4 linked regions of the Anolis sagrei genome follow. The protein of the gene in region 1 purifies or fractionates together with the protein of each later gene. This does not show direct contact. Links are inferred from orthologs where the notes say so. Each region holds a gene or a part of one and is shown in the gene's direction. Other genes may lie near its edges. The genes, in order: HNRNPU, BTRC, NPM1 and SNW1.

The links.
Region 2: the proteins of HNRNPU (region 1) and BTRC purify together in Homo sapiens (affinity purification with mass spectrometry; 6 studies listed by BioGRID and IntAct, with this or other methods). This does not show direct contact. The link is inferred for Anolis sagrei from reciprocal best matches to the Homo sapiens genes HNRNPU and BTRC.
Region 3: the proteins of HNRNPU (region 1) and NPM1 purify together in Homo sapiens (affinity purification with mass spectrometry; 3 studies listed by BioGRID and IntAct, with this or other methods). This does not show direct contact. The link is inferred for Anolis sagrei from reciprocal best matches to the Homo sapiens genes HNRNPU and NPM1.
Region 4: the proteins of HNRNPU (region 1) and SNW1 purify together in Homo sapiens (affinity purification with mass spectrometry; 3 studies listed by BioGRID and IntAct, with this or other methods). This does not show direct contact. The link is inferred for Anolis sagrei from reciprocal best matches to the Homo sapiens genes HNRNPU and SNW1.

Annotation. Positions count from the first base shown.
Region 1 is NC_090021.1:54,920,937-54,928,070, forward strand, and holds the start of HNRNPU (heterogeneous nuclear ribonucleoprotein U), read left to right. Parts: upstream 1-4,124; 5' UTR 4,125-4,341; coding exon 4,342-5,050; intron 5,051-5,754; coding exon 5,755-5,872; intron 5,873-6,091; coding exon 6,092-6,165; intron 6,166-7,134. UniProt on the Homo sapiens protein: DNA- and RNA-binding protein involved in several cellular processes such as nuclear chromatin organization, telomere-length regulation, transcription, mRNA alternative splicing and stability, Xist-mediated transcriptional silencing and mitotic cell progression.
Region 2 is NC_090023.1:216,207,659-216,214,878, forward strand, and holds the start of BTRC (F-box/WD repeat-containing protein 1A), read left to right. Parts: upstream 1-4,206; 5' UTR 4,207-4,320; coding exon 4,321-4,368; intron 4,369-4,447; exon of another isoform or gene 4,448-4,524; intron 4,525-7,220. UniProt on the Homo sapiens protein: Substrate recognition component of a SCF (SKP1-CUL1-F-box protein) E3 ubiquitin-protein ligase complex which mediates the ubiquitination and subsequent proteasomal degradation of target proteins. Recognizes and binds to phosphorylated target proteins.
Region 3 is NC_090021.1:142,281,753-142,288,709, reverse strand, and holds the start of NPM1 (nucleophosmin), read left to right. Parts: upstream 1-3,946; 5' UTR 3,947-4,049; coding exon 4,050-4,107; intron 4,108-6,957. UniProt on the Homo sapiens protein: Involved in diverse cellular processes such as ribosome biogenesis, centrosome duplication, protein chaperoning, histone assembly, cell proliferation, and regulation of tumor suppressors p53/TP53 and ARF.
Region 4 is NC_090021.1:307,230,622-307,238,415, reverse strand, and holds the start of SNW1 (SNW domain-containing protein 1), read left to right. Parts: upstream 1-4,786; 5' UTR 4,787-4,877; coding exon 4,878-4,891; intron 4,892-7,794. UniProt on the Homo sapiens protein: Involved in pre-mRNA splicing as component of the spliceosome. As a component of the minor spliceosome, involved in the splicing of U12-type introns in pre-mRNAs.

The DNA of each region.
Region 1 (7,134 bases):
TGGATCACTTTACCTTGGATTTCAATGTTAGCACAGACCTAGTCTCAATTCTTCACAGTGCACTGAGTTAAACACAGAGCATGGTTGTGGTGACCCAAATCACTTTAAAGGGGACAATGACTTAGAAGCCATCAGCACCTTTGTGATAGGAGATATTTTGTATATTATTTCCAGAACAGAAAGCAAGCATTTATTTATCGTGTCAGAAGCAAATTGAGAATACAGTTATAATGTATAAAAAACACAAATTTAAAACTTGGCATTATGCTAGATTTCCTTTGACTAGAAGCTGACCACTTGGAATGTCTCGCATGTGGCTGTAAGGAGGTCCTCCATTGTGCATGTGGCAGGGCTCATACTGCATTGTAGAAGGTAGTCTGTGGTTTGCTCTTTTCCACACTTGCATTTCATGGACTCCTCTTTGTAGCCCCATTCCTTAAGGTTGGGTCTGCATCTCGTGGTGCCAGAGCACAATCTGTTCAGTGCCTTCCCAGTCACCCAGTCTTCTCTGTGCCCAGGAGGGAGTTTCTCATCTGGTATCAGCCACTGCTTGAGGTGCTGCATTTTAACCTGCCACTTCTGGACTCTCGCTTGCTGAGGTTTTCCTGCAAGTATCTGTAGATCTTAGGAAGCTGTTTCTTGATTTAAGACGTTGGCTTGCTGGCTGATATCCAAACAGGTGATGGGCTGGAGATGTCAATGCCTTGGTACTTTAACTGCTGGCTGCTAGTTCCTGGTGGATATCAGGTGGTGCAATACCGGCTAAACAATATAATTTCTCCAACAGTGTTGGGCATACATGTCCTGTGATAATGTGGCATGTCTCATTAAGAGCCACATCCACTGTTTTAACAGGGTGAGATGTATTCCATACTGGGCATGCGAACTCAGCAGTAGAGTAGCAAAGCGCAAGGGCAGATGTCTTAACTGTATCTGGTTGTGATCCCCAGGTTATGCCAGTCAGATTTCATATGATATTGTTTCTAGCACCCACTTTTTGCTTGATAGTCAAGCAGTGCTTTTTCTAAGTCAGAGCACAGTCCAGACTAACTTCCAGGTATTTGGGTGTGCTGCAGTGCTCCAGTGGGATTCATTCCCAGGTAATCCTGAGCTCGAGATGCTTGTCAGTTCTTAAGATGAAAAGCACATGTCTGTGTTTTAGGTGGAGTAGGAATCAGCTGGGTTTCTTTGTAATAGGCAGTAAGAGTGCCTAAAGCTTTGGGAAGCTTTAGGCACTCTTACTGCCTATTAAAGCTTGAGTGGTGATAGCACAATTGTCAGTATAGATGAAATTCTGTCCCTACTGGCAATAAGCAAGTAAGCCTCTGTATATTAATGGCTGAAGAACACAAGTTCCCACAATCATTTTAAATCTAGTTGCCTATTGTGGGAAGAGAATAAAGGATTGGGTGTACTTGGGCTGTTTATGTGACCTAGTACATCAGCATGATTTTTCTTGCAGAATGCAAGTGAATACTGGATTGTTGTGTCCAGGCTAAATGGGGCTTTATATGTGCGTGTGTGTACACACACCATGAGAAATTACGGTTCTATGACACCACATTCACTTGCAGAAAATAGCGAAGACTTTTAGAAAATACTGATGAAAATGAAAGAAGTTCAAAAGCAACGTGACAATTGAATACTATGAAGACGCAGATTATTCTCCACACCTTTGCTCAATCATTAATCAAAATGAGGAATGCTGCCAATAAACCAGAAGACTTGGAAGTGTGGCCGTGAAGGAACTTGATAAGACCCTCAAGCCTAAAGATGTATTATTAAACATCAAAGTCAGAATAATCCAGATCAAAATGGTTCTTAAGCCTGATAGGAAGAAAATCAACACATTTGAAATTTGAAGAAGAGTCCTGAGAGCTGGCATAGAGTTGCTGTTCTTAACTGCCGTCAGTCAATTTTGACTTTGACCTCAAGTCCCTCTATTGCCAGCCTCCTTTTTAAAATCTTGCTGACTCAGGACTGTGGCTTCCTTTAGTAAGAACCTATCTGGAATACTGTCCGCTTTTTCCTATTGCCTTCTAACTTAACAAGCATTATTGTCTTTTTTAGTGAGCCATGCCTTTTCATGATATGACCAAAATGGTTTCCGTTTATTCATCGAGCGAGAGTTCAGGCTTGATTTCTTCTATGGGTCATTGATTTGTCTTTTTAGCAATCCATGGTGTCCACAGAATTTTTCTTCTGCACTTTTAAAACGGAATGATATTCTTCCTATCAGTTTACCCACTGTTCAGCGCCCTTCATTCTTCAGTTTTCACAACTGTACATAGAAGTGGGGAATACAATCCCATGGTCAGTCCTAAGATACAATGATCTATTTTACACATCAGAAGTTCCTTCATAGCTGTCTTCTTCTGATTTCTTGACTGCAGGCGCCATCCTGAATATCGACCGAGCCAAAGTATGGAGAATCTTTATTTCAATGTCTTTGCTTATTTCTAAGTTATATAGTTGTCATTATTTTTAGTTTGCTCCATGTTCAACTGTAAATTTGCCTTTGCACTTTTGTCCTTGATTTTCTGCAATATTCATTCCAAGTTCTTGCTATTTTTTGCTGGTAGTACGGTATAATCTGTCTATTTTAATTTTTTGATGTCCCCTCCCTAAAGAAATTAGATTGGCCCCCACTCGAGTTCAAAAACATGGCTTTTCAGACAGGCCTTTGACCCTGTATAATCTATGATCAGCTCGAGGATCGAGTCACTCTGCACTTTGATTTGTTACGGCAAATAGCCAGCTTTATTTGCAGATTCTACTGTGGTTTAGAAAATTTTATAATCTTTTACAATTTTTATAATCTTATCAGTTGGGTTTTTATGTGCATTGTTGCTTTAATATTTATCTCACTTTATATACTACCTATGTACTGTTGTTTATAAGCACTTGGGGTGTTTCTGTGAGCCGCTCCGAGTGGTGGTGAGAAGATTTAGACCAGGGGTCCTCAAATTAAGGCCCGAGGGCCAAATACGACCCTCCAAGACTGTTTACCCGGCCCTCGCTCAGGGTCAACCACGTCTGAAATGCCTTGAAAGCATGCAACAACAACAATCCTATCTGATCGGCCAAAAGCAGCCCCACACTTCCCATTGAAATACTAATATATTTCTATTTGTTAAAATTGTTCATTTTAATTATTGTATTGTTTTAAAGTTTTTTTTGCACTACAAATAAGATGTGTGCCGTGTGCATAGGAATTCTTTTTTTTTTTTCAAATTATAATCCGGCCCTCCAACAGTTTAAGGGAATGTGACCTGGCCCCCTGTTTAAAGAGTCTGAGGACCCCTGGTTTAGACCACTTGGCATGGAATGACCCCTTTGGCAGAAAAGATCTTGTAAAACTACAGCTCCCACAAAGCCAAAGCATTGAGCCCTGGCATTTACGTGGTGCCAAACTGCATTAATTCTACAGTGTAAATGCACCCCTTGTTAAGGGGTTTCTGTTGTGTCCAATTCTGGGCACCACAATTCAAGAGAGATGTTGACAAGCTGGAATGTGTCCAGAGGAGGGCAATTAAAATGATAAAGGGTCTGGAGAACAAGCCCTATGAGGAGCGGCTTAAAGAGCTGGGTATGTTTAGCCTGAAGAAGAGAAGGCTGAGAGGAGATATGATAGCTATGTATAAAAATATGTGAAGAGGGAGCGAACTTGTTTTCTGCTTCCTTGGAGAATAGGACGCGGAACAATGGCTTCAAACTACAAGAGAGGAGATTCCATCTGAACATGAGGAAGAACTTCCTGACTGTGAGAGACGTTCAGCAGTGGAACTCTCTGCCCCGGAATGTGGTGGAAGCTCCTTCTTTGGAAGCTTTTAAACAGAGGCTGGGTGGCCATCTGTCAGGGGTGATTTGAATGCAATGTTCCTGCTTCTTGGCAGGGGGTTGGACTGGATGGCCCATGAGGTCTCTTCCAACTCTTTGATTCTATGATAAGGCCTGAAGGCTTTGGCTGCGCACTTACGGTAATGCTGCGCCAGGGCCTGCACTTACGGTAGCGGCGCGGGTGGGAGGGAGGGAGAGAGAGAGGAGGGGGAGAGAGGGAGAGCGGGAGCGCGAAGGGGCGTGGCTAGGCCATATAAGGCGCGGGGCGGGGGCGGGGCAGCGTGGCGTTGCGTGCTCGACCCCGCGAGGCGCGTCCCCGGCCCCTGCCTCGCGAGCCTTGCTGAAAGGATTTGGCGCCAGGCGGGTCTTTCCTTCCTTCCTTGCTTGCTTCCTTCCTTCTCCGCAGCCCCCGAGGAAGGTGATCCGGGCCAGCCGCCGACGTCCAGGCCGCACTCCGCTAGAGCCCCCGCCGCCCACGGAGAGGCCCTCGCCGCTATCGCCATGAGCAGCTCGCCGGTGAACGTGAAGAAGCTGAAGGTGTCGGAGCTCCGCGAGGAGCTGAAGAAGCGGCGCCTCTCCGACAAAGGCCTCAAGGCCGACCTGATGGAGCGGCTCCAGACGGCGCTGGACCGCGAGGAGGCCGGCGGCGGAGGCCTGGCCGAGCCGGGCAACGGCAACGCCGAGGAGGAGGAGGGCGGCGCGGCGGGCGGCGCCTCGGAGCAACTCCTGGCCCCGGCAGCAGGCGGCGGGCCCGGCCAGGCCGCGGCCTACGACGACGAGGAGGAGGAGGCCGAGTTCGGCGGCTGCGCGGAGGAGGAGGACGACGAGGAGGAGGGCATGGAGGTGGGCGAGGAGAACGGCGAGCGGGCCGCCGCCCGGGAGGAGGACTTGGAGGAGGAGGACGAGGACGAGAACGGCGACGACCAGGGCTTCCAGGAGGGCGAGGACGAGGAGGACGAGGCCGCCTCAGCCGCCGCGCCGGCCGGCAGCGGGACCGGGGGCGGCAATGCCAACGGCCACGGGGCCAAGGAGGCTCCCGGCGCCAAGGCAGCCGCGCCCGAGGCCTCCGCGGCTCCGGCGCCTTCGGCCCAGACCGGCGCCAAGCAGGCCTCGTCCGGGGCTCAGTCGCAATCGCAGCCGGCGGCGGCGCCTCAGCAGCAGCAGCAGGCCCAACAGCCCAAGCCCGGAGGGGCCGCGCCGCGTCCTGCGGGTGAGTCGTGCGTGGGGCCCGGATGGGCGTCGGCGGTTGGCGCCTCGGAGCGGGGTCAGGGCGAGGCGCCATCTTGGTTTTCCCCCCCTTTCCCTCCTGTTTCTGTGAAGAAGAGAAAGGGGGGGAAATCTAGGCCTCGCGCGCCAAGAGGCGCCTGTAATGGTGGTGGTGGGATGGGGGAGGGGCTTCCGCCATTTCGCGCGCGCAGGGTGGGGGGGAAGGAGAGAGAGCGCAGCGCGCAGGAGCCGCTGGGGCGCGCTGTGGAGCCCTGCGAGGAGGGAGCGCTTTCTGCCGCTTGCGTCACTTCCGCCCGTGAGGCGCTGCGGGCTCTGGTTCAAACCTTGAGCACAAAAGGAGGCGGGGGAGTCCAGGGAGAGGCAGCGCCTGCCGGAAGCCCCCGCTAGAGGGCGCCCTGACGCCACGCGGGATTTGATTTTCTGTCTTGTCGAAGGCTTTCATGACCGGAATCCCTAAGGTTTTTGGGTAGTATGGCCATGTTCCAGAAGCATTCTCTTCTGGCGTTTCGCCTTAATCTATGGTCTCACAGCCATGCCTGCCATAGATGCAGGCGAAATGTCAGGAGAGAATGCTTCTGGAACATGGCCATACATCCGGAAAACTTGGAGCAACTCATTTTGTCTGTTGTTTGCGTGACTTAATTGTATGGCTTCCAACGTTCCCTTTTTTCCCCCTCCCGCAAAAAGATAATAAAGAAGCCAAATCTGAGCAAAAATCCGGAGAGAAAAAAAGGGGAGTGAAAAGGCCACGTGAAGACCATGGACGAGGTTACTTTGAGTATATTGAGGAGAATAAATACAGCAGGTAAATATAGTAATACACAATTCTTGATATACATATATCCATATATTTTTTTATATATTCATATACATACATATATTTTAATTGTGTGTGTGTATATATATACACATACATACATTATATATATAAAATATGTATTTTTAGTTCATATATAATATCTATTTTTCATTTTTAAAATCCCTATTGATGGATTGTATTCAAGCGATTTCTTTTATTGGTTAGGGCCAAATCTCCGCAGCCACCAGTTGAAGAAGAGGATGAACACTTCGATGACACAGTGGTTTGTCTTGATACTTGTAAGTACAAAAGAAGTGTTCTTGTCTCTTCAAATACATTTTTCAGGATGACAACTGTAATGTATTCAACAGTTGCTTTTATATATTTGTATATATGGATAATATGATCATAGCAGGCATAATTTCAGCTGTAGTTCATATACTTAATATTTTCGGATGTTAGCCTGCTTTTAGTCACATTAGAGCAGGCAGGGGAAAACTTTGGCCCTCCTGGACTTCAACTCCCACAATTCCTAACGACCTCAGGCCCTTTTCCCCCTCAGCTGCTTAAGCTTGAGTGGCTGAAGGGGAAAAGGAAAGGGCCCGAGGCTGTTAGGAATTGTGGGAGTTGAAGTCCAAAACACCAGGTGGGCCAAAGTTTTCCCCTGCCTGCATTAGTCTGTTCATACTAGTGTAAAAGTCATACTAGGTCTAAAAGGCAAAGCATGAAATGAAGAATGTATATTGTCAAACCAGATTTCCATTCTGTACTTTTCCAAAAGAGCTGTTGAAAAAATAAGTTGCCTGAAAACAGCAGATTTTATCTTGTCTTTTCTGGTGTTACGTGCTGGTAGGATTCCATCTGTAATGCAAATATCTTAAATTCTGAGCTTTGCACATTTTTAAAAAACTAGAATTCTGTCAAGTATGTGGAAAAAATGGCAGGTGTGGAGTTACTCTATAGAACAGGGGTTTGAAGTCTTGACCCTGGAAACCCATTGGGTAACCTTGAGCAAGTTGTATACTCTAGAAGCCCCAGAAGGTGGCAAAGGCAAACTCGCTTCAATAGAGTATTTACCAGAAAAGCCCAGTGATGCATTCATTTTCATTAGGATTTCCACAAGTCATTAATGACTTGAAAGCACAGAATGATTTTAAGAAACAAAAGCATGATACCATATTGTTTTATCAAGAGGCCTAAATCCAAAGTTAGAAATAGGAAGTTTCATTACTGGGCAATTCAGAATAGAAAATTCCAGTACTTCGCAT
Region 2 (7,220 bases), on another chromosome or scaffold:
TGCACTCATTATTCACCAATACATCACACAGTCCTAGACACTTGGGAAGTGTCCAATGCCTGATCCAATACAACAGCCAGCAGAGTGTCTGCTGTGGACTCATCTTGTTGTGTTTCAAATAATAATAATAATAATTATTATTATTATTATTATTATTATTATTATATTCTAGCGCCACAGTTTTCAAGTTGTATTCCTAGTACTCTAGAAATGTTTTCAAGTATGTCTGGAGAACTTCAATGAGAAGGTGGACAAGTTAACCTGAAAGACAACTTGACCTTCATATTTCCTCTCCTGCAATGCAAAACTGTTGGGGAGTGTTGAATATGTCACATAATGCATTTTGTTGTGCAAGTTCACAGTAGATGACAAAAATCCTCTAATAAGTTTTCAACATGAACTGAGAATTTGCTGCAGTAAAATCAGTGTGTATTGGGAGGGGGATTCCTTGGCAGATGAGTTGAGGTAGGAAGAAGTCCTTGAAGGTAGAAAATTTAAATTAAAAATAAGCTTTTCAGTTTCCTTTTAATCTGTAAGCAGAAAAGCAAAGTTTTCCAAATACACAATCTACGTGTGTGTGTGTGTGGAGGGGGGTAGAGGGGGGTGCTTCCTAAATACAAATATAGGGAAAAGCAAGAAAGGGAATACATATATAGTGCTTATTTAACTGGCACCCATGGAGATTGTTAGATGCGGATAAATGTAACTTCTGGTTGCTTGAGCGTAAGTATTTAAAATAGGCCTAGCTGTACCATAGCATACACTTGACTTCATATTAATATTGAAATGCCGTAATTAAAAGCAAATAAAGACAAATATAACTCAATGCAACACAGTTTTACTGTATTATAAAAACAGGTTTGGGAATGAATTATTATTCTATTTTGTTGTTGTTTCCTTGGGTTCTGGTTAACTGCAAGTCTACTGTATTTGGAATTATTATTTTTAACGCAGAACACATCTTGGATTTTTCATGTCTCATTATACAGCACACATTCTTCTGTTTGCCTGTCATTACAGATGCATCCCTAGATTAATCCAAGGAGGACTCGCTGTTGCCACAGATGTTCCATGTGATCATTTCAGCACTAGCATACCTTAATCCATCCTGACCAGACAGTTACAGCTGCTTCTAGATAACATGGTAGATATTCTATTCCTCTGGGGAAGCAGCAGGTGTTCCTACCTGGGGCCTGAAACTCTTAAGAGGACTTTGGATAAGCAGAACACTCAGTAAAGTTACGCTGTTGTGTTTAAGTAATAAGAAAAGCTTATAAACATACTCTTTCCATAATGATTATTGAATAGCCAGAATTTCTCATATACTTGATGACTTCCATCTAGTTGCAAGTCCTGAATCAGTTGGATTCACATAAATCTTGGCTTCATGTTTGCCAGGTAACACAACAACATCATTGTGTAGGGAATGGAAGGAATGTGAAGGATGCAGTAGATGACTGTGTAAATTATTTTAACTACTACATCCCTCTCAGTTTATCCAGTTAAGATAATATAAACCAACAACTAATCTTCTAAAACTGATGTACTGCTACGAGGCTCACAAAAGTTATGAGTCCTGGAATTAAAGAAATAATACATTTTGAAGATATCAAAGTGAACTGATAATAATTTAAGAGAGACAGATTGTAATGATTTTGGAAGCAACATCATTTAATGAGAGGCTATCTTGTTCATTATGGAGGGGGGGGCTTTTATAACATGCCCATTTTATTATGATTTGGCAAGTGGGGTGAGTCTATAAGAAAGATAAGTAGCCTGCCTAAGACCAACCAATGAGTACGTGGTTGCCCTCACATTTGTCCCTATGCTCTCCAAAGACACCTGCTACATGAAACAAGGTACGAAATGTGGATGCTTACATTCACTTATAATCAGCTGTGGTTATTTTGGCTGTTGGCACTCTTTCCTTCTTTCTGTCGTTTGGTTAACATGACTTTCTTCTCATTCTTTGCTGTCATATTCTCCACTACTAAAATTTAAATTACAAGTACATCTAAAACAAGGACTTAGGGTGCGTCCATACCAAGCATGAGCAAAGTTTGTCCCTCCAGGTGTTTTGGATTTCAACTCCCACAATTCCTAACTAGCTGGGATTTCTGGGAGTTGGAATCCAAAATCCCGGGAGGGCCAAAGTTTGCCCATGTCTGGTCTATATTGTAGAATTAATGCAGTTTGGCACCATTGTAACAGTCATGGCTCAATGCTATGGAATCATAGAGAGGCACCAAGGAGGCCACATACAGCTCTTGTAAAGCTACAACTCCCATTATTCCATACATTGAGCCAAGGCAGCTAAAGTGGTGTCAAACTGCACTGTAGTTCCATGGTTACCAAACGTGAGTCATGCAGTAGTTTGGGACTTCAGCTCCCTTAAGCCTTAAAGCCCTTCCAGACAGGCCCTATATCCCAGGACCTGATCCCAGGTTTTATGTTTTTCCCAGATTATCTGGCAGTGGGGAGTCATATAATCCAGTTTAAAGCAGAAAACCTCGGATCAGATACTGGCATATAGGGCCTATCTGGAAGGGCGCTTAGTCAGGAAATTTGGGATATGAAGCCTCAAAATCTGTACAAAGTTTGGGAATCACTGCTGTAGATTGTTTCCCAAACACAGGGCCCTTCCATATAACCCAGAATATCAAGGCAAAAAAAATTAAATCCCACATTATCTGCTTTGAACTGGGTTATTTGAGCCCACGCCGCCATATATTCCAGTTCAAAGCAGATATTGTGAGATTTCCTGCCTTTATATTCTGGGTTGTATGGCTGTCTGTAAGGGTTCTGATCCCACACTGCCATATATTCCAGTTCAAAGCAGAAAATGTGGGATTTTATTCAGCTGTGTGGAAGAGGCCCCAGAATATCAAGGCAAAAAAAAAAAAAAACCCTCACAATATCTGTTTTCATCTAGATTATTTGAGTCCACACTGCCATATTTATTTAATATATATAAATACTGTAAATAAATAAATATATAAATAAAGCCAAAGTCCTCTAAGGGCCCTTCCACACAGCCCTCTAGCCCAGAATATTAAGGTAGGAAAACCCACATGACCTGAGTGTGGACTCAGATAACCCAGTTCAAAGCAGATATTCTGGGATTTTCTGCCTCGATGTTCTAGGTAGGATATTGGGCTGTGTGGAAGGGCCCAATGAGTTTGGGATTTCAGCTCCCAGAATCTCTGACCATTGGCCAAGGCAGCCGAGGCTTCTGGGAGTTGAAGTCTAAACACCTAGAGGATTAAAGTTTGGGAAGCATTGAAAGGAGCAAATCGTGACAGAGTTTTGTTGTTCTTGTTCATTCGTTCAGTCGTCTCCGACTCTTCGTGACCTCATGGACAAGCCCACGCCAGAGCTCCCTGTCGGCCATCACCACCCGCAGCTCCTTCAAGGTCAGTCCAGTCACTTCAAGGATGCCATCCATCCATCTTGCCCTTGGTCGGCCCCTCTTCCTTTTGCCTTCCACTTTCCCCAGCATAATTGTCTTCTCCAGGCTTTGCTGTCTCCTCATGATGTGGCCAAAGTACTTCAACTTTGTCTCTAGTATCCTTCCCTCCAATGAGCAGTCGGGCTTTATTTCCTGGAGGATGGGCTGGTTGGATCTTCTCGCAGTCCAAGGCACTCTCAGCACTTTCCTCCAACACCACAGCTCAAAAGCATCGATCTTCCTTCGCTCAGCCTTCCCTAAGGTCCAGCTCTCACATCCGTAGGTGACTACAGGGAATACCATGGCTTTGACTAGGCGGATCTTTGTTGCCAGTCTGATGTCTCTACTCTTCACTATTTTATCCTGATTGGTCATTGCTCTCCTTCCAAGAAGTAAGCGTCTTCTGATTTCCTGGCCACAGTCTGCATCTGCTGTAATCTTTGCACCTAGAAATACAAACTCTGACACAGCCTCCACATTTTCTCCCTCTGTTTTGTGACAGAGTTTACAAGTCCCTATTAGAGGTCGAGGCTCAAGTCAGAACTACAGCTCCCATCAGCCCTTGCGAGCACACGCTCTCACTTCCCTCAGCGCCTATTCTCTCCTCCTCCAAGAGGCGGCCTGCTCAGCGTATCCCCTGTCGCAGGGCTTGTTGGGAAGTGTAGTCCAATAGCGGTGCCGGAATCTGCTCGGTAAACGGGCCTGGGACTACATTTCCCAGTGAGCCGAGCGGGAGGAAAGCAGGGGCTTCCTGTTTGCCGCTGCGCTGTCTGCGGCCTTGCACTGAGGGAAAGGGAGGGAGAGCGGGGGCGGCCTAGGCCCAGGCCTCAGGCCCGGAGCTGGCGGGGGAGCAGCGGCAGAGGAGAGGGGCGATGGACCCGGCCGAGGCGGTGGTGCAGGAGAAGGCCCTCAAGTTCATGGTGAGGAGGAAGAGAGAGGGAGGGTTTGTGGCGGAGGGAGGAAGTGAATGGCGAAGAAGAAGAGGAGGAGGAGGGAGGCGATACGGGCTGAGAGGTTTCCCTGGCAACCCGGGGTACCTGCGAAATGAGGTAGTGGCTGGAGGAGAAGGAAGGGGGGTAAGCCCGCCATAGCTCTTCCCTACCTGTTTCCAAGAATCTTTAATATGTGTTTTTTAAATTCAACAACAAGGCTCTAAACTGCAATGATGGAGGCTTTGTGGTATCAGTGGCTGGTTGGAGGAGGAAGAAGGACAACGATTGGGAAGCTAGTGAAGGAAAAGTAGTCAAGGCCTGAGAAGAGGGAATGATGCAGCAGCTGATGGGATTTAGCATTCCTTTGGCTTTGAAGAGGGTTCTTGGTGACAGACTTTGAATGATGCAGGTGATGGGTTTATCTTTGTTTGTTTTTAAGTGGAGGGCTGTATTTGTTCTAAGCCAGGGCCCTTCCACACAGCCATCTATATAAATAAAAATGTAATGTTCGTTTGTGGGATTCATGTAACTCAAAAGCTACTGGATGAATTGACACCAAATTTGGACACAATACAACTATCAGGTCAACAAATGACCATCACTCATAAAAACACTGAAAAACACAGTGGAAGAGACTTAAAAAGCCCCCCCCCCAATACATTACAACGCATGTGCAAAACCACATATATACACATATACACAAATATGCATATTTATACACACACAAAACATATACACCAACTGTACCACAGAAATTCGTGGCAGGGACGGCTAGTATAAAATAGATTATCAAGGCAGATAATCCAAAATAACTTCTTTGAACTGGGTTATCTGAGTCCACACTGCCATATAACCCAGTTCAAAGCAGATAATGTGGGATTTTATGCAGCTGTGTGGAAGGGGCCCTAGAATATCAAGGCAGAAAATCTCGCAATAAGTCCACACTGCGATATAACCCCTTTCAAAGCAAATAATGTGGGATTTTATGCAGCTGTGTGGAAGGGGCCCCAGAATATCAAGGCAGAAAATCCCGCAATAACTGCTTTGAACTGGGTTATCTGAGTCCACACTGCCATATAATAATAATAATAATAATAATAATCTTTATTTATACCCCGCCACCATCTCCCCAATGGGGACTCGGAGCGGCTTACATGAGGCCAACCCCAAACAGAAAATTACAATAAAATAAAACCGAAAACGCAAACAATAAACAACAAACAACATAATTACATAAAACATAAGAGGGTTCTTGGTGACAGTATGAATTATGCAGGTGATGGTTTTTATGGTTGTTGTTTTTTAAGTGGAGGGCTGTATTTGTTCTAAAACAAGGTTAATACACCCAGGGCCATTCCACACAGGCATATAAAATAGAATATCAAGGGAGATAATCCACAATAACTGCTTTGAACTGGGTTATCTGAGTTCACATTGCCATATAACCCAGTTCAAAGCAGATAATGTGGGATTTTATGCAGCTGTGTGGAAGGGGCCCTAGAATATCAAGGCAGAAAATCCCACAATAACCGCTTTGAACTGGGTTATCTGAGTCTACACTGCCATATAATAATAAACTTTATTTATACCCCGCCACCATCTCCCCATTGGGGACTCGGAGCGGCTTACATGAGGCCAACCCCAAACAGAAAATTACAATAAAATAAAACCGAAAACGCAAACAATAAACAACAAACAACATAATTACATAAAACATATGAAAATATAGCAATATAAAATTACAATAGGCACAATCACAATGACAAAGGGCGGGCTACATATAATGATTAAAAGAGAGACTGATTAAAACTAATTAAAACTCAGGCGAGATAAGAGAGAGTCAGATTATTTGCGGAGGAGGACTCATAGTGGGGGTTGTGGAATCAGGCTTTTTCACAAAGGGGGGGGGCATATACTCCAATGATAAAACGTTGAGGCTAAGCAATAGTGTGAGAATGTAAACCTGTTCATCAACCTAGTTCAAAGCAGATAATGTGGATTTTATGCAGATGTGTGAAAGGGGCCCCAGAGAATCAAGGCAGAAAATCCCACAGTAACTGTTTTGAACTACTGCCATATAACCCAGTTCAGAGCAGATAATGTGGGATTTTATTCAGAGGTGTGGAAAGGGCCTAGGCTAATACATCAGGTTAATGAAATCTTGGGTCATATTATTTTAAAAACTAAACTAGGTTGAAGTAAAAATGTTCAAGGTCTAACAAAAGGGGGTGATGGGTTAGCTGATGGGATTTCGCAATACTTGGTATAGTAGACTCTCAGGGATTTGTAGATGTCACATCAAAGTACTTTTTGGTTACGTGAGAGTTACCATTAAAAATAGGCCTCATACTATACCCCATTATGGACCCACCGCCAGGACTCTACTGCCACCGTGACTAATAGCCTATGGTGATAATAATGGAAAGCCAAAGAGTATGAAAGACGCTGGTGTGTTTTTAATTTTTTTTAAGTGGATGGTTTTCTAAAATAAGCTTAATACACTCAGGCTAATAACAAGATTAATGACATCTTGGGTCATTCTTAAAAATTAAAAAATGAACTAGAATGATGGGGCTTTATTGTGTTTTGGTAGAGGAGAGGAAAGAAGTCCAAATATTGGAAATATACTGAAGGAAAACCATGTGTGTGTGTGTGTGTCAGGAGTGACTTGAGAAACTGTAAGTTGCTTCTGGTGTGAGATAATTGGTCATCTGCAAGGACGTTGCCCAGGGGATGCCCGGATGTTTGATGTTTTAGCATTCTTGTGGGAGGCTTCTCTCATATTTCTGCATTGGGAGCTGGAGCTGACAGAGGGAGCGCCACCTGCTCTCCCCGGATTC
Region 3 (6,957 bases), about 87 Mb from region 1:
AGATTCCTTCAAGATATGGGGGTTCTGTGCGGGAATTTTGGTCTAATTCTATCATTGATGGGGTTCAGAATTCTCTTTGATTCACATTTGGGCATACTGGCATATTTGTGCCAAGTTTGGTCCAGATCTATCATTGCTTGAGTCCACAGTGCTCTCTGGATGTAGGTGAACTACAACTCCCAAACTCAAGATCAATACTCACCAAATCCTTCTAGTATTTTCTGTTGGTCATGGGAGTTCTGTGTGCCAAGTGTGGTTCAGTTCCATCGTTGGTGGAGTTCAGAATGCTCTTTGATTGTAGGTGAACTATCAAGCCCATCAATCACAACTCCCAAATGACAAAATCAGTGCCTCCCCCAACCCTACCAGTATTCAAATTTGCGTGTATTGGATACTTGCATCAAATTTGCTCCTGTAAATGAAAATACATCCTGCATGAGTCCCTCTATGGAGGTAGAGAAGATTAGGATATAAAAGTTTTAAGTAAATAATAAATATATATTAGATATTTACATTATGATTCATAACAGTAGCAAGATTGCGGTTATGAAGTAGCAACGAAAATAATTTAATGGTTTGGGGTCACCACAACATGAGGAAATATATTAAGGGGTTGTGGCATTAGGAAGGTTGAGAAACTTTAGTTTACATTTAGTCCCTGAGGGTTAACGTGTCAAGTCTCAATATCCAATCCATTTTTTTAAAACAGAGCCCTCACATTATCTGGGAGAAATGTTTCTCAAGCACCAAATGGGCTTCTAAAGTAAAGAAATGACTACTGAAGGCCCCTTCCACACATCTGAATAAAATCCCACATTATCTGCTTTGAACTGGAATATGTGGAAGTGTGGACTCAGATAACCCAGTTCAAAGCAGGTATTGTGGGATTCTCTGACTTGGTATTCTGGCTTTATATTGTGTGGAAGGGCCCTAAATTAGTGCTTACCAGGTCTCCCCTAGGGGTCTTGGGGTGCATCTACACTGTTGAATTAATGCAGTTTGAGACTTGCTGCTATGGACTTATGGGAGTTGGAATTTGGAAAGGCAATAGCCCTTCTTGGCCCCTTCCACACAGCTGTATGAAATCCACACTGAACTGGATTATTATATGGCAGTGAGGACTCAGATAATCCAGCTCAAAGCAGATATTGTGAATGATATTCTGGGTTATATGGCTGTGTAGAAGTGCTCTTTGTCAGAGAGGTCTAAAGACCTTGTAAAACTGCAACTTCCATGATTCCACAGCACTGAGTCATGGCAGTTCATATTGTGTCAAACAGCATTAATTCTGAAGTGTGATTAATACCACAAGGCCCCTTCCACGCAGTTAAGTAAAATCCCACATCTGCTGTGAATTGGGTTATATGGCAGTGTGGACTCGGCGCCCTTCCACACAGCCATATAACTCAGAATATCAAAGTGGAAAATCCCACAATACCTGATTTGAACTGGGTTATCTGAGTCCACACTGCCATATAACCCACTTCAAAGCATGTGTGGGATTTTATCCAGCTGTACAGAAGGGCCCTCAGATAGCCCACTTCAAAGCAAAGGGACAAAACAATCTTCAGGCGGGGGGGGGGGGGGGGCTTTTATTTTATCATCTCACCGCTGCCACCAATTGAAATGGAAAGCAGGGCAATCTTCAGGTAGGGTGGATCATTTCTTCCATCATCCCACCGCTGCCACCAATTGAAACAAAGTAGGGCACTCTTCAGGCAGGGGGGTCTTTTATTTTATCATCCCACCGCTGTCACCAATTGAAACGAGCAACCACTTCAGCAGGGTGGACCTTTACTTTGTTATCCCACCATTTGTGTCCCTTTAAGTTGGAGGTGAGAGGTTGACAGACTTTGCTTAAATTGAAACAGTAACTGTTAAGTTTATTTGCATTGTTGTGACAAAGGCGTGCTGGTTTGCAAGAGTATAAATGCTTGTTAGTTACAAAAATGTGAATATTCCTTTATGAAGATGATACATTCCAGCCTTTTCTTTTTCCCAAAAGGACTTTTTATATTAACACAAGAAAACTGATTTCTAACTGCCTTGAACCTGACATAGAGATCCTGACCACTCGGTCCTTTAAAACCTCTCTACTGTCATTAGCCTCCTGGTATCAGTCAACTACCCTAGGTATCCCCTAGCTAATTTTCCAGCTGCCTCCAGCTGCTTACTTACTTAGGCGATCCCTCGTAGTCCAAGGATGATGGTCCTCCAAGTGTAGTGTCCTGGCAGTGGGTCTGTAGGTGACTGTGGAGCCCTATTCTTGATCTGCATCTTCTTTCGCAGTGAGGGCATTGGTTTCCAGGTGGAAGGCGGTCCCGGTCGGGGTTGGCTTGATGCGCCTTCCTCTTGGCACGTTTCTCTCTTTCACCTTCCATTCGTGCCTCTTCAAATTCTACAGCACTGCTGGTAATGGCTGACCTCCACCTGGAGTGCTCAAGGGCCAGGGCTTCCCAGTTCTCAGTGTCTATGCCAGAGTTTTTAAATTGGCTTTGAGCCCATCTTTGAATCTCTTTTCCTGTCCACCAACATTCCGTTTTCCATTCTTGAGTTCGGAATAGAGCAATTGCTTTGGGAGACGGAGGTCGGGCATCCAGACAATGTGGCCGGTCCAGTGGAGTTGATGGCAGAGGACCATCGCTTCAATGCTGGTGGTCTTTACTTCTTCCAGCACGTTGACATTTGTCCGCTTGTCTTCCCAAGAGATTTGCAGGAATTTTCGGAGGCAGCACTGATGGAATGGTTCCAGGAGTTGCATGTGACATCTGTAGACTGTCCACGTCTTGCAGGCACATAACAGGGTTGGGAGGACAATAGCTTTATAAACAAGCACTTTGGTATCCCTACGTATGTCCCAGTCCTCAAACACTCTCTGCTTCATTCGGAAAAAAGCTGCACTCGCAGAGCTCAGGCAGTGTTGTATTTTGATGTCAATGCCGAATTTTGTGGAGAGATAGCTGCCAAGGTAGCCGAAATGGTCAACATTTTCTAATGTTACACCATTAAGTTGTATTTCTGGCATTGGAGAGGGATTGGCTGGTGACTGCTGGCAGAGCACTTTAGTTTTCTCAATGTTTAATGACAGGCTGAGCTTCTTGTAAGCTTCTGCGAAGGTGTTTAGAGTGGCTTGTAGGTCATCTTCTGAATGTGCACAGACGTTGTCATCAGCATAACTAACTCAGACTCCAGCTAACTCACCAACTGACCCTTTTCAAACCAACATTCTTTTCTCCATTGGCAGTTGGCTCCGCCCCTTTCTTTTCTGCCTGGAAGCTATGTTGCTATGGCAATGCCTAGGCCTGAGGCCACCAATCAGCTGACAATAATAAACATACCTAAAACCTACATTTTAATTATACATTTTGTTACACCTGCCTTGATATTGTGGGTTATATGGCTGTGTGGAAGGGCCCTCAGATAACCCAGTTCAAATCAGATGTTGTGGATGACATGCCTTGACATTGTGGGCTAGATTACTGTGTGGAAGGGCCTCTTAGTCAGCTGCCAGAAAACAACATCAACTAAGAAAGCTATTAGGGCCCTTCCACACAGCCCTCTAACCCAGAACATCAAGGCAGATCATCCACAATATCTGCTTTGAACTGGGTTAGCCGAGTCCACACTGCCGTATGAGCCAGTTCAATGTGGGACTTTATATTGCTGCGTGAAAGGGCCCCTAGAGGAGGAATGGAGCGATACAAGGCGCCGCCATCTTGCTCGGTGGGCTGCTGCGCGTCTTCTCGCTCTCTCAAGAGACGCACAAGGTGGAAGTTGGGACGCGCATGCGCGGAGCAGAGGGCTCCTTCGCTCCCTTTTTGGCCCCCGCTTGCCTGGCGACCGCGTGCGCCCCTTCCGAGCACGCTCGCGCCTGCGCACCCAGCCAGCGGATGGGCCAGAGCATCACTTCTCGCGAGACCTACGAGGGCTATATATTGGGGGAAGGGAAAAGAGGCGGGCCCTTTTCTGCGGGTGCGCTAATTCCGTCCGTTAGACCCAGCAAGCGCCCTTCGGCTGAGGAGAGAGAGAGAGACGACGCTGTTGAGGAGATGGAAGACACCGACATGGACAGCATGGGCTCCCTTCGGCCACAGACCTTCCTCTTCGGTAACCATCCCGCGCCCCCCCTCACGCTGCCTTCCCTGGCTCGCCATGAGGCCTTCCCACGTGGCTTGGGCCTCCCTTAACCTCGGGGTCTTGCGGGCCTCCTTTGTCCTCCCTTCGTCCTCAGGCTGGACGGGAAAGGGAATCTGCCGCCACCTCATGAGGCTTGGGCCTAGCCGTCTTCCATGTGGCCTGTGGAGCGAGAAGGAAGGCCCCAAGCCTCTCGGCCCCGAATCTAGCCCGAATCAAGCTCTTCTTTACTTGATTCTCCCTCTGCAATAGGATCCGTGCGCCTTGGGGCATGATTATTATCGAGAAGGCGAGCTCGCTGCCTCTCCTAGGTTAGGATTTCAAAGCAAGATGGGGCTCCCTTCCAACTCCATTATTGCTCCATCTCAGAAAAAGCCACAGGACCCCCTATATCCCAGAATATCTGCCTTGAACTGGGTTATCCATACTGCCATATATTCCAGTTCAAAGCAGAACATGTGGGATTTTATTCAGCTGTGTGGAAGGGGCCCAGCCTCCTGCAAGAATCATGCAAGGCCTCAGGCCACTTCCACACCACTCTATATCCCACTATCTAATTCCAGATTATCTACTTTGAATAGGATTATTACTATTATTATGCTTATAATAATAATAATAATAATTCCTGCAAGAATCATGGATAGAATCATAGAGTTGGAAGAGACCTCATGGGCCATCCAGTCCAACCCTCTGCCAAGAAGCAGGAATATTGCATTCAAAGCACCCCCAAAAGATGGCCATCCGGCCTCTGTTTAAAAGCATCCAAAGAGGGACCCTCCACCACACTCCGGGGCAGAGAGTTCCACTGCTGAACGGCTCTCACAGTCAAGAAGTTCTTCCTCATGTTCAGATGGAATCTCCTGCTAGGCCTTAGGCCACTTCCACTCCACCCTATATCCCACAATCTAATCCCAGATTATCTACTTTGAATAGAATCATAGAATCAAAGAGTTGGAAGAGACCTCATGGGCCATCCAGTCCAACCCCCTGCCAAGAAGCAGGAATATTGCATTCAAATCACCCCTGACAAATGGCCATCCAGCCTCTGCTTAAAAGCTTCCAAAGAAGGAGCCTCCACCACACTCCGGGGCAGAGAGTTCCACTGCTGAATGGCTCTCACAGTCAGGAAGTTCTTCCTAATGTTCAGATGGAATCTCCTCTCTTGTAGTTTGAAGCCATTGTTCCGCGTCCTAGTCTCCAAGGAAGCAGAAAACAAGCTTGCTCCCTCCTCCCTGTGGCTTCCTCTCACATATTTATACATGGCTATCATATCTCCTCTCAGCCTTCTCTTCTTCAGGCTAAACATGCCCAGTTCCCTAAGCCGCTCCTCATAGGGCTTGTTCTCCAGACCCTTGATCATTTTAGTCGCCCTCCTCTGGACACATTCCAGCTTGTCAATATCTCTCTTGAATTGTGGTGCCCAGAATTGGACACAATATTCCAGATGTGGTCTAACCAAAGCAGAATAGAGGGGTAGTATTATTACTATTACTATGTTTATTTTATACCCCACTTTCTCTCTCCAGAAGATGACTCCAAAGTGGCTTAGTTTTTCCATGCATTTTAAACTCTACAAACATTAAAATGGAATTGAGTAATATCATTGCTATCTCTTTTATGTCCACATCTTTGTTTTCAGGATTGTTCATTATTTAGTTTGTCAGAAGTGACTTGAGAATGTAATAATATATAAAAAACCCCACAAAGTTAAAAACTGGGACTTATCCCAAAATTCCTTTGACCAGAAGTTGGCCACTTGGAATGTCTCTTGTATCGCTGTAAGTAGGTCCTCTATTGTACATGTGACAGGGCTCAGATTGCGTTGTAGTGAGTGGTCTGTGGCTTGCTCTTCTCCACACATGCATGCCATGGACTCCACTTTGTAGCCCAATTTGTTAAGGTTGGCTCGGCATATCGTGGTGTCAGAGAGCATTCTGTTTAGTGTCTTCCAAGTCACCCAACTTTCTGAGTTTCTCTTCTGTTCCCAGCCACTGATTGAGGTTCCAGGTTTTAGCCTGCCACTTTTGGACGCTCGCTTGCTGAGGTTCCAGCGAGTATCTCTGTAGTTATTAGGAAGCTGTTTCTTTATTTAAGATGCTGGCTGATATCTGAACAGAGGATGGGCATGCATATTCAGCAGCGACTTTCATTATTATTATTATTATTATTATTATGTTTATATCTTGTTTTTTCTCTCCATACGGAGACTCGGAGCGGTGCACAACTAAAAGCAACTAAAGCATTGAAATACAACTTAAAATACAAAATACACACATATTAAATACAAAATACACACTTATTAAGCAACATTAATATTAAAAAACAGGTTAAAGCCTTAAAAGTATATAAAATCACAGCAGCCATTTATGGGTTAGTGCTGTACAAGATGTGCCTCTTTGTCTTCTGAGGCTGGATATATACTGCCGTATAATGCCGTTTTAATCTTCATTATATGGCCAGTATAGCTGCAATATGTGAGTCTACACTGACCATGTGATGCAAATTCAGACTGCATTCTATAGCAGTATACATCCAGCCTCTGAGCAGTGCTTTGAATCCCTGGTCCCATAAAAAGTACAGGTATTTTGAGCCTCCATTATCAGAATTCCCCAAATACTCCCAAAATTGTCCTCATGGCTGAGAGTGACTCCTTCACTTTCTGGTGGGTCAGTGTACCCAAACTTGGTCTCATGCTCAAAATTATTAAAACTGATTTGTATAAATTTACCTTGAGGCTTTGTATATAGGCCACATCAGTGGCCTATATACTGTGTATAGAGGTTGAGTCTCCTTTGTCCAGAGCAACTCTGGTTGTTCATACAT
Region 4 (7,794 bases), about 250 Mb from region 1:
TATCTATTTACATTTACAGCATTGTGTTACGTTGTTTTTACTAATTGATAAATAATTATTTATTTTCTTAATTATGTATTTAATTGATATGTAATTATTGTCTATGTTATATTATTTATTGTATTTATTGTATTCCAGAAAGAGGGGGCAGGATATAAATAAAGATGATGATGATGGTGATGATGATGGTGATTATTATTATTATTATTATGAAGTCGACCTGGAGGGCCAAAGTTTGCCCATGGCTGCTTAAGACCCTATAGATAGAACTTCAAACTCCAGGATTCCATAGCATTGAGCTATGGAAGTTAGTAGTGTCAAAAGACGTCATCAAACTAGAAAATGAATCCACTTTAAACGTTAAAGGCTCCTCCCTAAGCTACAAACCCCTATCCATGGAACGTTGTAGGGTCATAGCTAGACTCCTGGAATGGTGGATATAATTCTATGATATCCTTCCCATTATACACAATGAATCTATGATGCAAACAAGATTCAGGTCACAAAGACAGACAATTTTGGCCACTGAGCTCCATTAGCCAGCATAGTGTAGCGGTTTGAGTGTTGGAGTATGACTCGAGACCTGAATTCGAATTCTCGCTCAGCTATGGAAATCCAATGGGTGACTTTGGGCAAGTCACATTCTCACTCCAAAGACAAAAACAAAAAAACAGCAAACCCTTTCAGAATAAATATTGCAATAAAAAACCAGTAATTTTAGGGTCACCATAAATCGGAAATGGCTTGAAGTCATGTAACAATAAGTCTTTCTTACATAATGCTTGTGACCCTGATTAGTTTCTCACATAAACTATATTATATTCAAGACCTGTTATCAAGTATCAACATTCTCAATAAGCTGTGATATTTCCAAAATCTTCTCTGCCACCACTGTCAATAATCAAGGATAAATGGGCTCATTAGGAACAATGGAAGTGTTGATGACAAGGGAAAACATTTGCAGGTGCGAAAGCCGAAGCTTCCTGTACAGCTGGCTTCTAACTCAGGCCTCCCTATCACTAGAAAGAAAAATAATGACAAACATCACCATTCCAGGAAGATAGAGCTGATTTCTTTTCTAAAGCCACACTGGTGTAATTACGATAATGATAAACAGATTCTGAAAAAGTTTAAATATATTCTCTAGAAGAAAACACCACGAAAAAGAGAATTTTACTGAGCAGTAACACTGTCAATGGAGATACACTAGTTCTAGGGCAGTGGCTCTCAACCTGGGGTCCCCAGATGTTTTTGGCCTTCAACTCCCAGAAATCCTAAAATCTGTCAAACAGGCTGGGATTTCTGGGGGTTGTAGGACAAAAACATCTAGGGACCCCAGGTTGAGAACCACTGTTCTAGGGACTAATAAGCCTGTTATGCACATCCCTGCCTTGGGAAAAGGTTCACGGTCCAGTTTCCTAGTGAAAAGATATTCTGGAAAATTATGCAAATTTTCTACAACCAGTTTATTTGTAAGCAATTACAGTGAACAAAATATGTAGTAACACAGAGATCAGCATTCGCTTAATTTCCTAAATGTGCCTTTATGTACAATATTCATTACAAAATTTTATAAAGTCTTTATATATAAAATCTCAGCCTGCAGATGTTTGAGCTCGCAAAACTCAAAAAGTAGTCGGCCGATTGACTTGACATTTCGACACAAGGTTACATTCCAATACGCACGTGTTTTTAGAGTAAAATGAAATTTTGACACAATGTTGCATTTGAATACACACGTGTATTTAGAGTAAAACAAGTAGTCCGGGAGTAGACAAAGGAATCTGTGATGCCCAAATCAACCACTCACAGCCTAACTTTTATTTTACCTCAGCAGTATAAGAAATGAAATCTAAGCTCTAGCAACCAATTGCTGTACAGCTTTCCTTTTGCCTCAGCAGTAAAAGAAATAACCTATCACAAAACAGCTTTCATTTTACCTCAGCAGAAGAAATAATCACAGACCAGCTTTCCTTTTATCTCAGCAATATAAGAAAAATAGTTGTCGAGGCCCACTTTGGAATCTTGGCCTTTGGAAGCTGAGCTGTCCGCTGTAATTAGTACTGAACTGGCTTTTAAATTTTAAATATGTACGATTGTTATATAGTACTATGTTTATACTTTTTATAATGCCCTTCTGTATGTTTTTATGTTGGTAATTGCAATGCTTTACCATGATGGAAACCGCCCTGAGTCCCCTTGGGGAGATAGAGCGGTATACAAATAAAGGTTTATTATTATTATTTGATAAAATAACATATTTGGTTTACTCACAACATTCATGTGTTCAGCATACATAGCGATAAAACTTATCAGTCCAGTTTCAGATATGTCTGAGATGGTTCCCTGTGCCAGTCAACCAGGGCATCTCTCTTGTAACAAAAATAACTGTCAACAGGTCACATAGTAGTCAAAAAGGAGAGGAAGAGAGCCTGTGGTCTGCAGCCCCTCTTATAACTTCTCAGGAACCATAGAGTAAAGGAAGCTGCATACCAGAGCATACATACAGGAAACAGGAAACAACAGGATCATTGATAAACATTACTAGAGAAGGCTTGAAGAAAACTGTCATTTCCAACAAAAGGAAGGACAAAAGATGGGAGAAGAAATGGGGAAAGGGATGGAAGAAAGAAAAAAAAGGAAAGAAAAAAAGGGAAAAGGAACAAAAGAAGTGAGGGAAGGGGAGAAAAAGAAAGGCAGAGTACAGAAAAAGAAGAGGAGGTAGATATTTTAAGGAAAAGCATGGGAAGAAGGAAAGAAACAAAGAAATACTGTGTATTAAGGAAAGGAAGAAAAGAGCCACAAAAGAAAATGCAAACTCAGGCAGTGCCATGTATATACCCTAGGTAAAGGTAAAGGTTTTCCCCTGACATTAGGTCTAGTTATGTCCAACTCTGAGGGGTGGTGCTCATCTCCATTTCTAAGCCGAAGAGCCAGTGTTGTCCATAGACACCTCCAGGGTCATGTGGCTGGCATGACTGTATGGAGTGCCGTTACCTTCCAGTCGAAGTGGTACCTATTGATCTACGCATATTTGCATGTTTTCGAACTATTAGATTGGCAGAAGCTGGAGCTAACAGTGGGAGCTCACCCTGCTCCTCGAATTTGAACTTAATTTTTGATCAGCAGGTTCAGCAGCTCAGCAGTTTAACCTGCTTTGCCACTGAGGGCTCCTATTTATCTAATCGTGTGTGTGTGTGTCTGTGTATGGATGTTGGCTAGTTGGTTTGTACCACAAAGGCTCCTACATGGCTTGATAGATTTGGACCAAACGTGGCACACATACCCTGCACTATCCAACTTAAATTAATTGAAGGGGTTTTGAACTGAAAAAGCCACCCTTTTTTGCTAGGTTGGCAGAAGCTGGGGCTAACAGCAAGAGCTCACACCACTTCCTGGATTCGAACCTACGACCATTCGGTTAACAAGTTCAGCAGCTCAGCGGTTTAACCCACCAGTGGTTCTTTGAGTTGTGTATAAAATTACCTTTAAGATACGTATATAAGGTGCAAATGAAACAAAACAAGAATGATTGACAACTGGAAAATAGAGGGAGAAAATGTGGAGGCCGTGACAGACTTTGTATTTCTAGGCGCAAAGATTATTGCAGATACAGACTGTGGCCAGGAAATCAGAAGACGCTTACTTCTTGGGAGGAGAGCAATGTCCAGTTTCGATAAAATAATAAAGAGTAGAGACATCAGACTGGCAACAAAGATCCGCATAGTCAAAGCCATGGTATTCCCTGTAGTAACCTACGGATGTGAGAGCTGGACCTTGGGGAGGGCTGAGCGAAGGAGGATCAATGCTTTTGAACTGTGGTGTTGGAGGAGAGTTCTGAGAGTGCCTTGGACTGCGAGAAGATCCAACCAATCAATCCTCCAGGAAATAAAGCTTGACTGCTCATTGGAGGGAAGGATATTAGAGACAAAGTTGAAGTACTTTGGCCACATCATGAGGAGACAGCAAAGCCTAGAGAAGACAATTATGCTGGGGAAAGTGGAAAGTAAAAGGAAGAGGGGCCAACCAAGGGCAAGATGGATGGATCCTTGAAGTGACTGGACTGACCTTGAAGGAGCTGGGGGTGGTGACGGCCGACAGGGAGCTCTGGCGTGGGCTGGTCCATGAGGTCACGAAGAGTCGGAGATGACTGAACGACTGAACAACAAATCTGCAGAGTCCCTGAAACTTGGAACTATAACAAACATTAAATGGAAAGCAAACAAAATTGGAGCTCCTGGTGCAGTTGTACCTGCACAATAAGAGATACACAATCTATACTGCAGAGAATGTAAAATACAAGCGTCTCAACCAGGCCTGGGCAAACTTGGGCCTTCCAGGCGTTTTGGACTTCAACTCCCACAATTCCTAACAACCAGGCCCGGGCAAACTTGGGCCTTCCTTGAGGGCCTGAGGCTGTTAGGAATTGTGGGAGTTGAAGTCCAAAACGTCTGGAAGGCCCAAGTTTGCCCAGGCCTGGTCTAAGCAATCCTTTGGGCCCATCTACTTGTTTCCATCTGTTGGCAACATCCATTCTCATTACTGTCATAGTAATCCATATCTTCCATACTCCAAAATGGTCCTTATAAAGGCTTTCTTTCCTTGCTGATCATTTAAATCTTGCCACTTGAGTCTGAATGTTTGGCTAATAAGTTCCACTCTGTACCAAACTGAGTGTTGAATCCAGTTGTTGTTCTGCTCCTTCAAGCCACCACATCCCGCTCTGAGGGCGGCGCATGCGCAAACATGTCGCGAGCGTTCCTCTCCGCCTGTAACACTACAATTCCCAGCATGCCCCTGGCTTCCGGGCCAGTTCCGTCGAGGCTTCTCGTTCAGCGCCCGGCCCTCAAAGGTGGAGGAAGAAGGAGAGCGGCAAGATGGCGCTGACCAGGTGAGTTTTGTCGCTGCGAAGCGGGAGCTTATCAGAAATTGGAAGCCGATAGCCACCCCGTTCCCTGAGCCTTTTACGGGAAAGTCTCTGGTTGTAATTGATTTCCGTGGAGTGTGAGCGGGTTTCGGTGGAGGGGAAAAGCCTCGAGGGAGGCCTAGGCCGCAACGGGCATTCTCCCCTAAAAGTCGGTATTAATAGTATTCTAGTGGGCGGCCTTTCATTATTTCAGACCGCTTCCTAAAGTGAAAAATTGTCTTGTTTGCGTGGGAGGCTGGCCCTCCAGAAACAAAGAAGGGAAGGCCTTGGTGTTCAGTAAAGATAGGCAGGGGGCCATTGTGAAATTGTAACCTGAAATGGTTCCAGTTGTAACCTGAAGTGGGGTTGGGTTGGCATGGGCAAACTTTGCCCCCCCCCCCATGTTTTAGACTTCAACTCCCATAATTCCTAACAGCTGTCCAGAACACCTGGAGGGCGGAAGTTAGCCCATGCCTTGCTTGGCCTCTTTGGCCCCTTCCACACCACCCCACTTTCCTCCTCCTGGAGGTGCTGGAGGAAAGTGCTGAGAGTGCCTTGGACTGCGAGAAGATCCAATCAGTCCATCCTCCAGGAAATAAAGCCCGAATGCTCATTGGAGGGAAGGATACTAGAGACAAAGTTGAAGTACTTTGGCCACATCATGAGGAGACAGGAAAGCCTAGAGAAGACAATTATGCTGGGGAAAGTGGAAGGCAAAAGGAAGAGGGGCTGACCAAGGACAAGATGGATGGATGGCATCCTTGAAGTGACTGGACTGACCTTGAAGGAGCTGGGGGTGGTGACGGCCGACAGGGAGCTCTGGCGTAGGCTGGTCCATGAGGTCACGAAGAGTTGGAGACGACTGAACGAATGAACAACAACACACCACCCCAATATTGCAGGATCTGATCCTAGATTATCTTGCAGTGGAGACTCATATAACCCAGTTTAAAGCAGATAATCTAGGATCAGAAAAGGTATTTTGCCTGACTTATTATTATTATTAACTTTATTTGTACCCCGCTAACATCTCCCGAAGGACTCGGTGCGGCTTACAAAGGCCAAGGCCCTCAATAAAACAACAGCATAACAAATGCAACAATAAAACTCATAAAGCAAACCAATAAACATTAAAGCAATAACAGTAAAACATCAAACAATACATCATGACACAATTAAAACTAGGGCCGGGCCAAATGTAATGAATAAATTAAAAGTGCTGGACATGACAGGTGAAATGTAAGGATTTTAGGTTAGGTGCGATGTACAGGCAATCATCTCTGGTAAAGTGTGCTTGGGACATGATGCTGGGAGTTTTCTATTCTGGAAAGGCACACTGGAACAGCCAGGTCTTCAAGCTCTTCCTAAAGACTGCCAACGTTGGGGCTTGTCTGATGTCCTTGGGGAGAGAGTTCCAGAGTCGGGGGGGGGGGCTACCACAGAGAAGGCCCTGTCCCTCGTCCCCACCAAACGTGCTTGCGACGCAGGTGGAATCGTGAGCAGGGCCTCTCCAGATGAACGGAGGGATCGTGTGGGTTCATATATGGAGATGCGGTCACGCAGGTAGGCGGGTCCCAAACCTTTTAGGGCTTTGTAGGTGAGCACCTGCACCTTGAATTGGGACCAGGAAATGAACAGCAGCCAATGGAGCTCCTTAAACAGGACTTCCAGATATACAGGAAAAATGGATGAGCAGAAAGCGCTCTCTTCAGGCTGGTTTTTCAGGGCCATGTACTGTCCTTATGGACATGACCTGTGACTATTACTAGCACCTACACTCATAGATTCATGTGGGTAACACACCCTACAGAAAAAGTGGTTCCCTTGGGATCTAGGCGCAGTGTGGAAGGGGCCTCTGAGGGCCACAATATGAATGCTTTCGTCCAGTGTGTCTTGTAGTTCTACAAGATTTTCTTCGCCTTTGCCTCATCAAACAACACATCGCACAATTTCTTTTGTTAACATTGACCCATGGCAACAAAAGTGGTGTCAAACTGCATTATTCCCACAGCGTGGAGCAGGCATGGGCAAACTTTGGTCTTCCAGGTGTTTTGGACTTCAACTCTCACAATTTCTAACAGCCTAGAGTGTTAGGATTTGTGGGACTTGAAGTCCAAAACACCTGGAGGGGTGAAGTTCACCCATGCCTGCTTTATGGTGTTCATTGATGAGAACTGAAGTTCAAAACACCTCAAGGGCCAAAGTTATCCCATGTCTGGTGTAGAGGCATCCTAAGAAGGCAGTTGACTTCTGGGATTTGCAATTTGGCACAGATAGCTGAAAATACAACTCCCAGGATTCCTTAGCACTGAGCTGTGGGAGCTAAAGTGGTGCCAAAGTGCATCAGTTCTCCAGTGTAGATGCCCCCTTGGAAACTCATTGTCAGTTCTTTCTTGTCCTCATCTTTAGAGAGGACAGTTGTCTCACTTTCTCTTCAAGGTGCCAAAACTATTGCTGGCTTGTGGCATCCCTAAGGTGATCCAAGCAAGGGTGTTTTTGACTAGATTTGTTCAGATGGGATTTGCCTTTGACTTCCTCAAAGGTTGAGAGAGGGGCTTAACCAAGGTCAGCCAGTGTGCTGCCATGGATGTGTAGGGATTCAAACCCAGGTCTCCAGAGTCGCAGTCTAAAGGTAAAAAGATTACGTCAGAAATACAGTCCTAAGATGTGGAACTTATCTCCCTGTTCAATACCAGCTCTGCAGTAATGGTTTCAAGGGAGCCACTTTTTCTGTAGGGTGTGTTACCCACAAGAATCTATGAGTGTAGACGCTAGTAATAGTCACAGGTCATGTCCATAAGGACAGTACATGGCCCTGAAAAACCAGTCTGAAGAGAGCACTTTCTGCTCATCCATTTTTTCCTGTATATCTAGAAGTCAAGCAAAAT